2 linked regions of the Oryzias latipes genome follow. The protein of the gene in region 2 purifies or fractionates together with the protein of the main gene of each other region. This does not show direct contact. Links are inferred from orthologs where the notes say so. Each region holds a gene or a part of one and is shown on either strand. Other genes may lie near its edges. The genes, in order: ubl7 and ube4b.

Region 1 (3,922 bases), on a different chromosome or scaffold from region 2:
TAAACGGAAGCTTGTGGGTCACCAGAGGACACTGAGAAGTCCCACTCACACTTCCAGCATGTTTGGATCCGTGAACTGCACAAAGAGATCCTTATCCTGAAGCACTCCTGAAGATTGAAGGGGAAATGTTAGCATTACGATGCACGAAAGATATCCCACAGGAAGTGGCTGGTCCAGCTCTCACCTAAAGCGACCGGGTCTGACCTGAGGCCGGGTGTGGCTACAATGATCTGATCCAGAGACTCCTTATTCGTCAGCATTTTATAGACCTGAGAGTTCAGAGCAAACACAGATTTTTAGAAGCCGAGTGCTCCCATTACTGCCATGGAGCTCCGCCAGCCTTTACTGTCAGAGTCTGATCCAGCTGAATAACCAAACGCCGGCCGGGATTTTGTTCAGCTACAGCTATAAAAAGCATTGGAGGTGATCTAATCACAGCCAGACTGCGGTGAAGACAGGTGTGCGGACAGCCAAATGGAAAGGAATGTAATCACCGGAGCCAAATTCCTTTGCAGAGTCAAAATATTAGTAAATGGAAGAATCCAACAGCAGCTGCTTTGGTTTGGATCCAAAACGTCCAGAATATTTGACTCCCGAACAACCAGCATTCAGAATCGGACTGCTTCTATTCATGAAGCATTTGAGTTCCTGTCCTCTGGTTCAAAGTCTAGATGCTTTTAGTGTCCAAACAAGAACAAAACAACTGATTTTACTGATTCCATTTTGATTCCAACTGAATCTTTTTACACCACGTAAATGCAGAACAGGCTGAGGTTTTGATGATTTTCAAAAAATTGTCTTCAGTGCTAAAGTTACCAGTTCAGCCAAAAACACCAAGCAAAAGATCCTGCTCACCACCAGATCCTAAAATACAAAACAAGTAAGATTGTTCAGATTCAGAAGCTTTTAGCTCTTTTATGTATAAGTTGACTTATCCTGTCTGGGGTCGCCACAGCGAATCAGCTTTCACCGTTTCAGACAGGTGCTTTGGCAGAGACATAACTGTTCATCCATATTTCTATTCAATATGTGCAACAAACGGCTTCAAATGTGCTCAAAAAAAGACAAATATGGGGAAAATATATACATGTATAATAATAAGTAAAAATAATAGTGATTTAAGACAAACAGTGGAAACCTTGGGGAGTAAAACGAAACCATTGAACGAGAAATGATCTCCAGGTGAGACATTAAATGAGAGTCCATCACTGCAAAACTCAAACAAACCTGTAAAAACATGCTGTAAAGATTTCTGGAATTCTACAAAACAGATTTTAGGTGATCTTTTTTTTTGGGATCAGTTTTTAATGGCAAGACCAAAAAAATGTTGTGGGTTCCAGCGCTCCGAGGGCTGCTGGGATTCCAGTCCTCCCTGATTCTGGCTCCGAAATCCAACTTCTGTTTGGTAGAATCTCATATAGTTTCATCATTTGAACAATTTTTTGCCCATTTTTTAAAAAAAAAAAGTAAACTGTTTTGCCATCTCTGCTTTGAAGCTCGGTTTCTCACACTTGTGTGTAAAAACTGAGCAGGAAGCGTTAGAATTGTACAGTTATGATTTTTCCATCCAATCCATAAGATTTATGGATGTTTCCAAAACATTTTCTACAATTATTAATATCATTCAGCGAATTCCAAAATATACCCAATAGTTTAAAATGACAAAAAGAGATTTTTTTTTATTTAAGTTCTTTTTAGAGCCTTGCTAATTTTAATATAGACTTTTAGTACATAAATAAATAAATAGATTAATAAATCTTTGTGGTACTTTTGTTATCAGAACATGTATTAGGAGCTTTGTAGGCTATGTAGTGAGTAGTGAAGGAATCGGGACACAGAGTGGGTCTTTGTTGGTTATGGACTCACTGCGTCTCTGTAGGCTGAATTGAGCGAATGCAGAGCGGCGTGGAACACCCGGAACTCTCTGGCTGCAGTCACTCTGTTCACCGGCTCTGCAAAAACACAAATCCGGAGCCGAGGTGTCGGTGATGGGGAGAGACTTTCAAGAGCTTCTGACCGCAGCAGCAGACACGGACCTGGACTGCTCTCCGGCTCTGGCCATGTCTTCTTCAGAATGTGTACTGTGGATCCCGGCTGGACCCCACAGGCGTCCAGTGTCAGCTCGTCCTTGAGCTTTCGCCCACAGTGGACCAGCTCTGGGAAAACAAGGAACAACAAGTTATACACACACACAACAACAACAACAACAACAACAACAACAACAACAACAACAACAACAACAACAACAGGCAGCCATTTCTGCTGCTAACAAACCTATGAGTTCAGGGTCTGGGACGGAGTCTGGCAGCTGCGCTGCTACAAGCTGCTTCAAGGTGGCGACTCTGTATCCTCCAGGTGGGACATCTCCGGGCATCATCTCGGGGAAGTGAAAGGTGGATTTGGGCTGGTCCGCCAGTTTCAGAGACAAGCGCCAGTCTGAGGACGCCATCATTGTCTGCGCAAACAAGAGCAGGGACATCTGTTTTGAATGCCCCGTTAGCTTAAAGCTAACCCGAAAATGTGTGCCTTTGCTTAAAGATGCATCTTTTTGTCAAGTGACTTTTAAAACAAGTTTACATGTTTAGAGAACATTTACAATACTAACAATTACCTAAACGGTTGTTTAAAAAATGAACAGAGGACAGCCGTGTAGTGACGTTTTTTCTTAATTAAACATTATTTTGCTTCTTGTGAACATTTCAAATAAAAGTTTCCGAACATTTTATTTATTTATGTATTTAAAAACTGAACAAGAAACAACCCTATGAATAAAAAGAAAGATGCAGACTCACCGCTCTGTTGACACTCGTTTCACTTCCGGGATTTGTAATCACGTGACTCGTGTTGCGTTCACGTCCACTCCACGAGCAAAGACCTTTTTTCTTGTCCCATCGCTTTCCTGTTCAACCTTTCCACATCTGTTGCACATTCGTAAATCCCCATGAACACTTTTCTGTCTAGTTTGCCACTTCCTCTAATTTTCTTTCACAGCTGTTTCTCAGCGGTACTTCATAAAAACGAGCCTACGAGGACATATGGGTTAGTAGTATGATCAACTAATTACGTGCCAAGTATATGTCCTTTGTGTACCTTTCCTTGAATATTTTTAAAATACTTTTTATGATGTTTTCATTGAACTGCTGCTTTATTACCAATTTAGTTTGTAATTCTGTCCTCATTGCACAAATTTTTCAAACACCATAAATGTGTCCTTCCATGTTTCCTTAATCCCATGAAGTTTCATAGATAGATAGATAGATAGATAGATAGATAGATAGATAGATAGATAGATAGATAGATAGATAGATAGATAGATAGATAGATAGATAGATAGATAGATAGATAGATAGATAGATAGAATTTATTCCAGACTCATGGTCCAATCAGTAAAAAGGAGTACACAGACCCACCACATTTAAAAAAAAAATACAGTGTCAAGAATACACAGCTGAGGTACAGTGTATAGTTACAGTTCATAAAAAAGTTAATAGAAAATACTTAATACAAACAAATTAATTAAAAAGGATAAGAATAAATACCAAGATAAAAAGATTACATATACATACTACACTGTAAAAACCTTAATTACAATGACAAGTAAAAAGACAGTCCCTCCAGTGTTTCCATAAATTTGACCGGAAACGTATTGCACTAAATCTAATGTTGCTTATAGCCAAGATGAGAGTGTTCTCTGAAGCGTTTAATCTGCAGATAAATTTGAACATAAGCGAGCGCATGCAAGCCCAGAGAGTGTTAATTCTGAGTGAAACGAAAAGCTCACTAGCACTTGTCCTCCAGTTCCATCATTGTATTTGTTTTTGAGTATAGAAGGGAGACATAGTGAGCTTGAATGAATAATGGAAGGTGTGAGTGAGAGACTGATGTTTTGCATTCATACATATTTTATGGGGAGAGCTCACAA
Region 2 (3,822 bases):
CAGACCAAACCACTTGTTACAAATCTCACAGTTCAGCTCATTCAGAAGTAACGGGCCAAAAAACAAACTTTGACCAGGAAGGAAAAAAAGTACAAAGAAGAATATCAGCTAGTCCCACTATTCCTCTGACGATCATGTTCGTATAAACTCTGGCACATCCTAAATGCACTGCGTTGATAGAGAAGCCATTTCATCTTTTTATGATTTTCACATATGGAGACTCACTGTGAGCTGCCCCCCCCCTTCTCTTTAACACACATGACACCAGCTACATCTGTTTTTTCCACTGTTTGATCCTCTGCACATTGAATAGACAGAGCATTCAGAGTTAATATAAGATTAACGTCTAGAAACCAGGGTTTGCCCATTTGATTCTGCAGAGTTCACACAGGCTTTCACAAAGTGGACTTTATGTTAAAACGACTGCTCATGTGGATCAAACCTGCCGGTGTAAATCCACCCTTAGAGTGGAAAATGGTCAGAACTTTATATTACATTTTACTCTAAATCGTACAACTCCTTCACTGTCTCATATAGACATGGCTTTTGTTAAGCAACCTTCTGTGCCGACATCCCAAAAACCTATTTCTCAAAATGTAAAAGTACATTTAACAGTTTGTTGTCTCTCCAAACAGCTTTGCCTTACACTGCTGAGATAATGAATGCACTTTCCAACATGTATAATTTGAAATGAAAACTCATTTTAATGTAGTCATTTGTCCTGACTTTAAGTAACATCAAGTCCAAAAATAATATTTCTTTTTAAATCAAAAGGGAAAAAATAGCATGTCAAAGTTATAGAAAGTTAATGCATTTTCCACACCAAGTGTTATTGTACACTAAACCCTGATGACTCACTGAGAAAAAAATGTTACATGTTGTATATTTACTAAGATGTATTCACCATTAAGAATTGAAAAGAGCAGCAAAAAGTCTTACCATGAGTGGAAACTTAAAGTTGTCACTGTCAAAGGAACATTCTTTCATTGCAAGTGCAAGCCCATGGATGATGGGAATAAAGATCTGAAAGGTAAGCAAGACAGCATTGTTGTAGTTTATTTAGCCTTAGTATTTTTAGAAAAATGTCTGTCATCGTTTTGCAACTACCACGAATTACTTTGCAAACACAAATGTCAGAAGACATCCTTAAAAAACAAAAAAGAATTTTGCTAAAAATGCTCAGTTTGTGCATTTCCTCCCACAATTTCATCAAAAACTGCATTGGTCATGTTTTGAAAAGGCTACAAAAATCCAGACGTGTTCCTCACCTGTTTGAACAATTCTTCCTCCTGATGGGTAATGCGCACGAGCTCCTGAATAAAGCCGAATGGAAGGTTCCTGCACAGCATGTAAGGTACCAGCAGAGACTGTTGCAGGGGGCTCCTACACATTGGAAAAAGGTAAATTAAAAGGCATAAAAACAAATAACTTGGTGAAAAAGTGAAAGAGCAATTACTATGGAAACAGGGAAGAAAAGGAATAAAGCAAAATGAGGCATCGGGAGCAAAAGTCAACACTAGAAAATTAAGGTTAAACATATATATATATATATATATATATATATATATATATTTCTTTTGACTTGATTTAGAATTCTGTTGAACCAATTTTCTTTTTTAACAAGGAATGAAAATAATGTGTCCCAGCAACTGTAGTTGTCTTACCGCGGTTGGGTCAGGGTGCCCTGCAGGACCAGAGTGACATGAGAGATGCACTGAGAACGAATGTTACTGAGAAGCTGGCTGACATTCGGTTGACTACACATCTGGAAAAGAGAAAGTTTGTGTTAATGCGTTTACCTGCCTGTGCATAAAGGGGTATTAAATGGATTAAGGTTTGGATACAGAATCTCTCAAAAGACACTGAAATAAACCCAATACTAATTCTTTTACTAAGAGAGTTGCAGCTAATCTCTCAAGACAATGTACTCTCTTGAGAACATCTGGTTCCAATTTAACAGAGGCTGATTAATAAAATGTTTTCTCTTGCAGACAGCAACCAACCTTGGGAGCTTTTCTTTCCTCCATGCCAACACTGTCAAAACGCTCAATGAGGTAGTTCAGCATCTCTGTCTCTTTGCATGCCTCAATGGTGAAGCGGTCGCTGGCTGCATCACAAGACACTGCCCCTCCACATGCACCAAGACTACAGAGGGGAAAAGCACAACAACAAAGAGACAAAATAAACACCAGAAAAGGCCAGAGCCCAGCAGGATGCCCAATTAGCATCAGATATATTTATCATCAAGCGGTTATCGAGCTCAAACTCAACCGGGAGCATTTTAAATGAAAGCAAATCCATCAGACATTTCAGCAGTAGAACCTCAACAAAGAAAATTGTTATTACCGTACTTGACGGCTTGCTTGAAGAGAAAAAAAAAGGAAAAACCCCTTACCTTTTCACAGTTTACCAACATGTGCAGTAATGGTTTCACTGCTTTACTGTTAGTGGTTAGCTAACTCCAGCATTTGACCTCAAAGAAAAACTTCCAGCAGGTAATATGATTAACTGGGTTATTAGCAGCCTATAAAGCAGGGGTCGGGAACCTTTTTGGCCAAGAGAGCCATAAACGCCACATATTTTGAAATGTAATTTCGAAAGAGCCATCCAATAATGTGGTGTCCCTTTACCACACGGAGGCACGGAGACTTAACCTCTTTTAAGGTTCTTTATTCTGGTTACTGCAGACCGCGACAAACGCCGTACAAATACTTCAGCAACTCCTTAATCTCTCCCGCTGAGACGAGAGCGCTTCTCCCAACTTTATATTCCCCCCCTCCTGCTCCAGCCCTCCCATTTCCCTTATTTGGCCCATGGCTGAACACCATTGGTCCAAACTACCTAATAACAGGCTGAGCGACAGAACTGAGAGCCAATCAGATGCGTTCAATGAACTTCAGAACTTTCAACGCGGCCCAACAGCCGCTCAGTCCGCGACAATATGTTTAAAACTAAAAATACAAATGAATGTGTGCATTTTATTTAATTTCAACATTTTTAAAGGACAATAAGTCTGTGGATTCTTTTTAATAACATTGTTATGCTGTTGCTAATAAATGATGAGTATTTCTCGTGGTAGTTCTGCTGATGGTCTAGTCTGGTTGATACGTGGTGAGTTTCTTCTTCATGCAGGCGTTGAGACTTTAAACGTGATCTTAGGTCTGAATGTTCTGTAGATGTGAGACAGACTGATCACATGCAGATACGGAGCCAAACACACACTCACGCTACAGTGAGTGACGGGCAGTGGGTTTTACGTATTTACAATCCCTGCGCGATTCACCTGCTGCCTGTCCCCACAACACCTCACCCCCACCCTCTGCTTTCTTCCTCTAACATCCCGTCCCCGCATCTGCGCACTCTTTCTCAGAGACGGGAGGGCGCACTTTTAGGCACGGCAATTCACAGGTTTCCAGGTGGTACAAACTCTGTGAAATAATAGATAATAGTAAACTGATAGCGCTGGCGCAGATTTTTCTCTCTAAGCACCGCTACGACTGCGCGCTTCTGGCATCGCATCGCGCCCGAGAAGGACTGGTCTAATGAAAAAAAAAGTATAATTAAAGATTTGTCTGCGAGCCACATGTGACCATCAAAAGAGCCATATATGGCTCGCGAGCCATAGGTTCCCGACCCCTGCTATAAAGCAATACCCCATTTACACTGAATTATGATTGATGATGAAGCTAAAAACAAACTATAATAATGCCGTATTTGTATTTGCTGACAGTGTTGCTTATTAATGGCGTTTTTTGTGCCAAAAATTGATGAAAACCGTCAGAAAAAGTGTGATTATTTTTTAAAAAGGGGAAAATATTTAAA

The links.
Region 1: the proteins of ube4b (region 2) and ubl7 purify together in Homo sapiens (affinity purification with mass spectrometry; 3 studies listed by BioGRID and IntAct, counting the BioPlex papers as one, with this or other methods). This does not show direct contact. The link is inferred for Oryzias latipes from reciprocal best matches to the Homo sapiens genes UBE4B and UBL7.

Annotation. Positions count from the first base shown.
Region 1 is NC_019861.2:28,019,289-28,023,210, reverse strand, and holds the start of ubl7 (ubiquitin-like protein 7), read right to left. Parts: upstream 2,883-3,922; 5' UTR 2,793-2,882; intron 2,456-2,792; 5' UTR 2,453-2,455; coding exon 2,275-2,452; intron 2,157-2,274; coding exon 2,037-2,156; intron 1,953-2,036; coding exon 1,867-1,952; intron 270-1,866; coding exon 185-269; intron 108-184; coding exon 50-107; intron 1-49.
Region 2 is NC_019865.2:9,902,592-9,906,413, forward strand, and holds part of ube4b (ubiquitin conjugation factor E4 B), read right to left. Parts: intron 2,146-3,822; coding exon 2,004-2,145; intron 1,766-2,003; coding exon 1,665-1,765; intron 1,384-1,664; coding exon 1,269-1,383; intron 1,024-1,268; coding exon 940-1,023; intron 1-939. UniProt on the Homo sapiens protein: Ubiquitin-protein ligase that probably functions as an E3 ligase in conjunction with specific E1 and E2 ligases. May also function as an E4 ligase mediating the assembly of polyubiquitin chains on substrates ubiquitinated by another E3 ubiquitin ligase.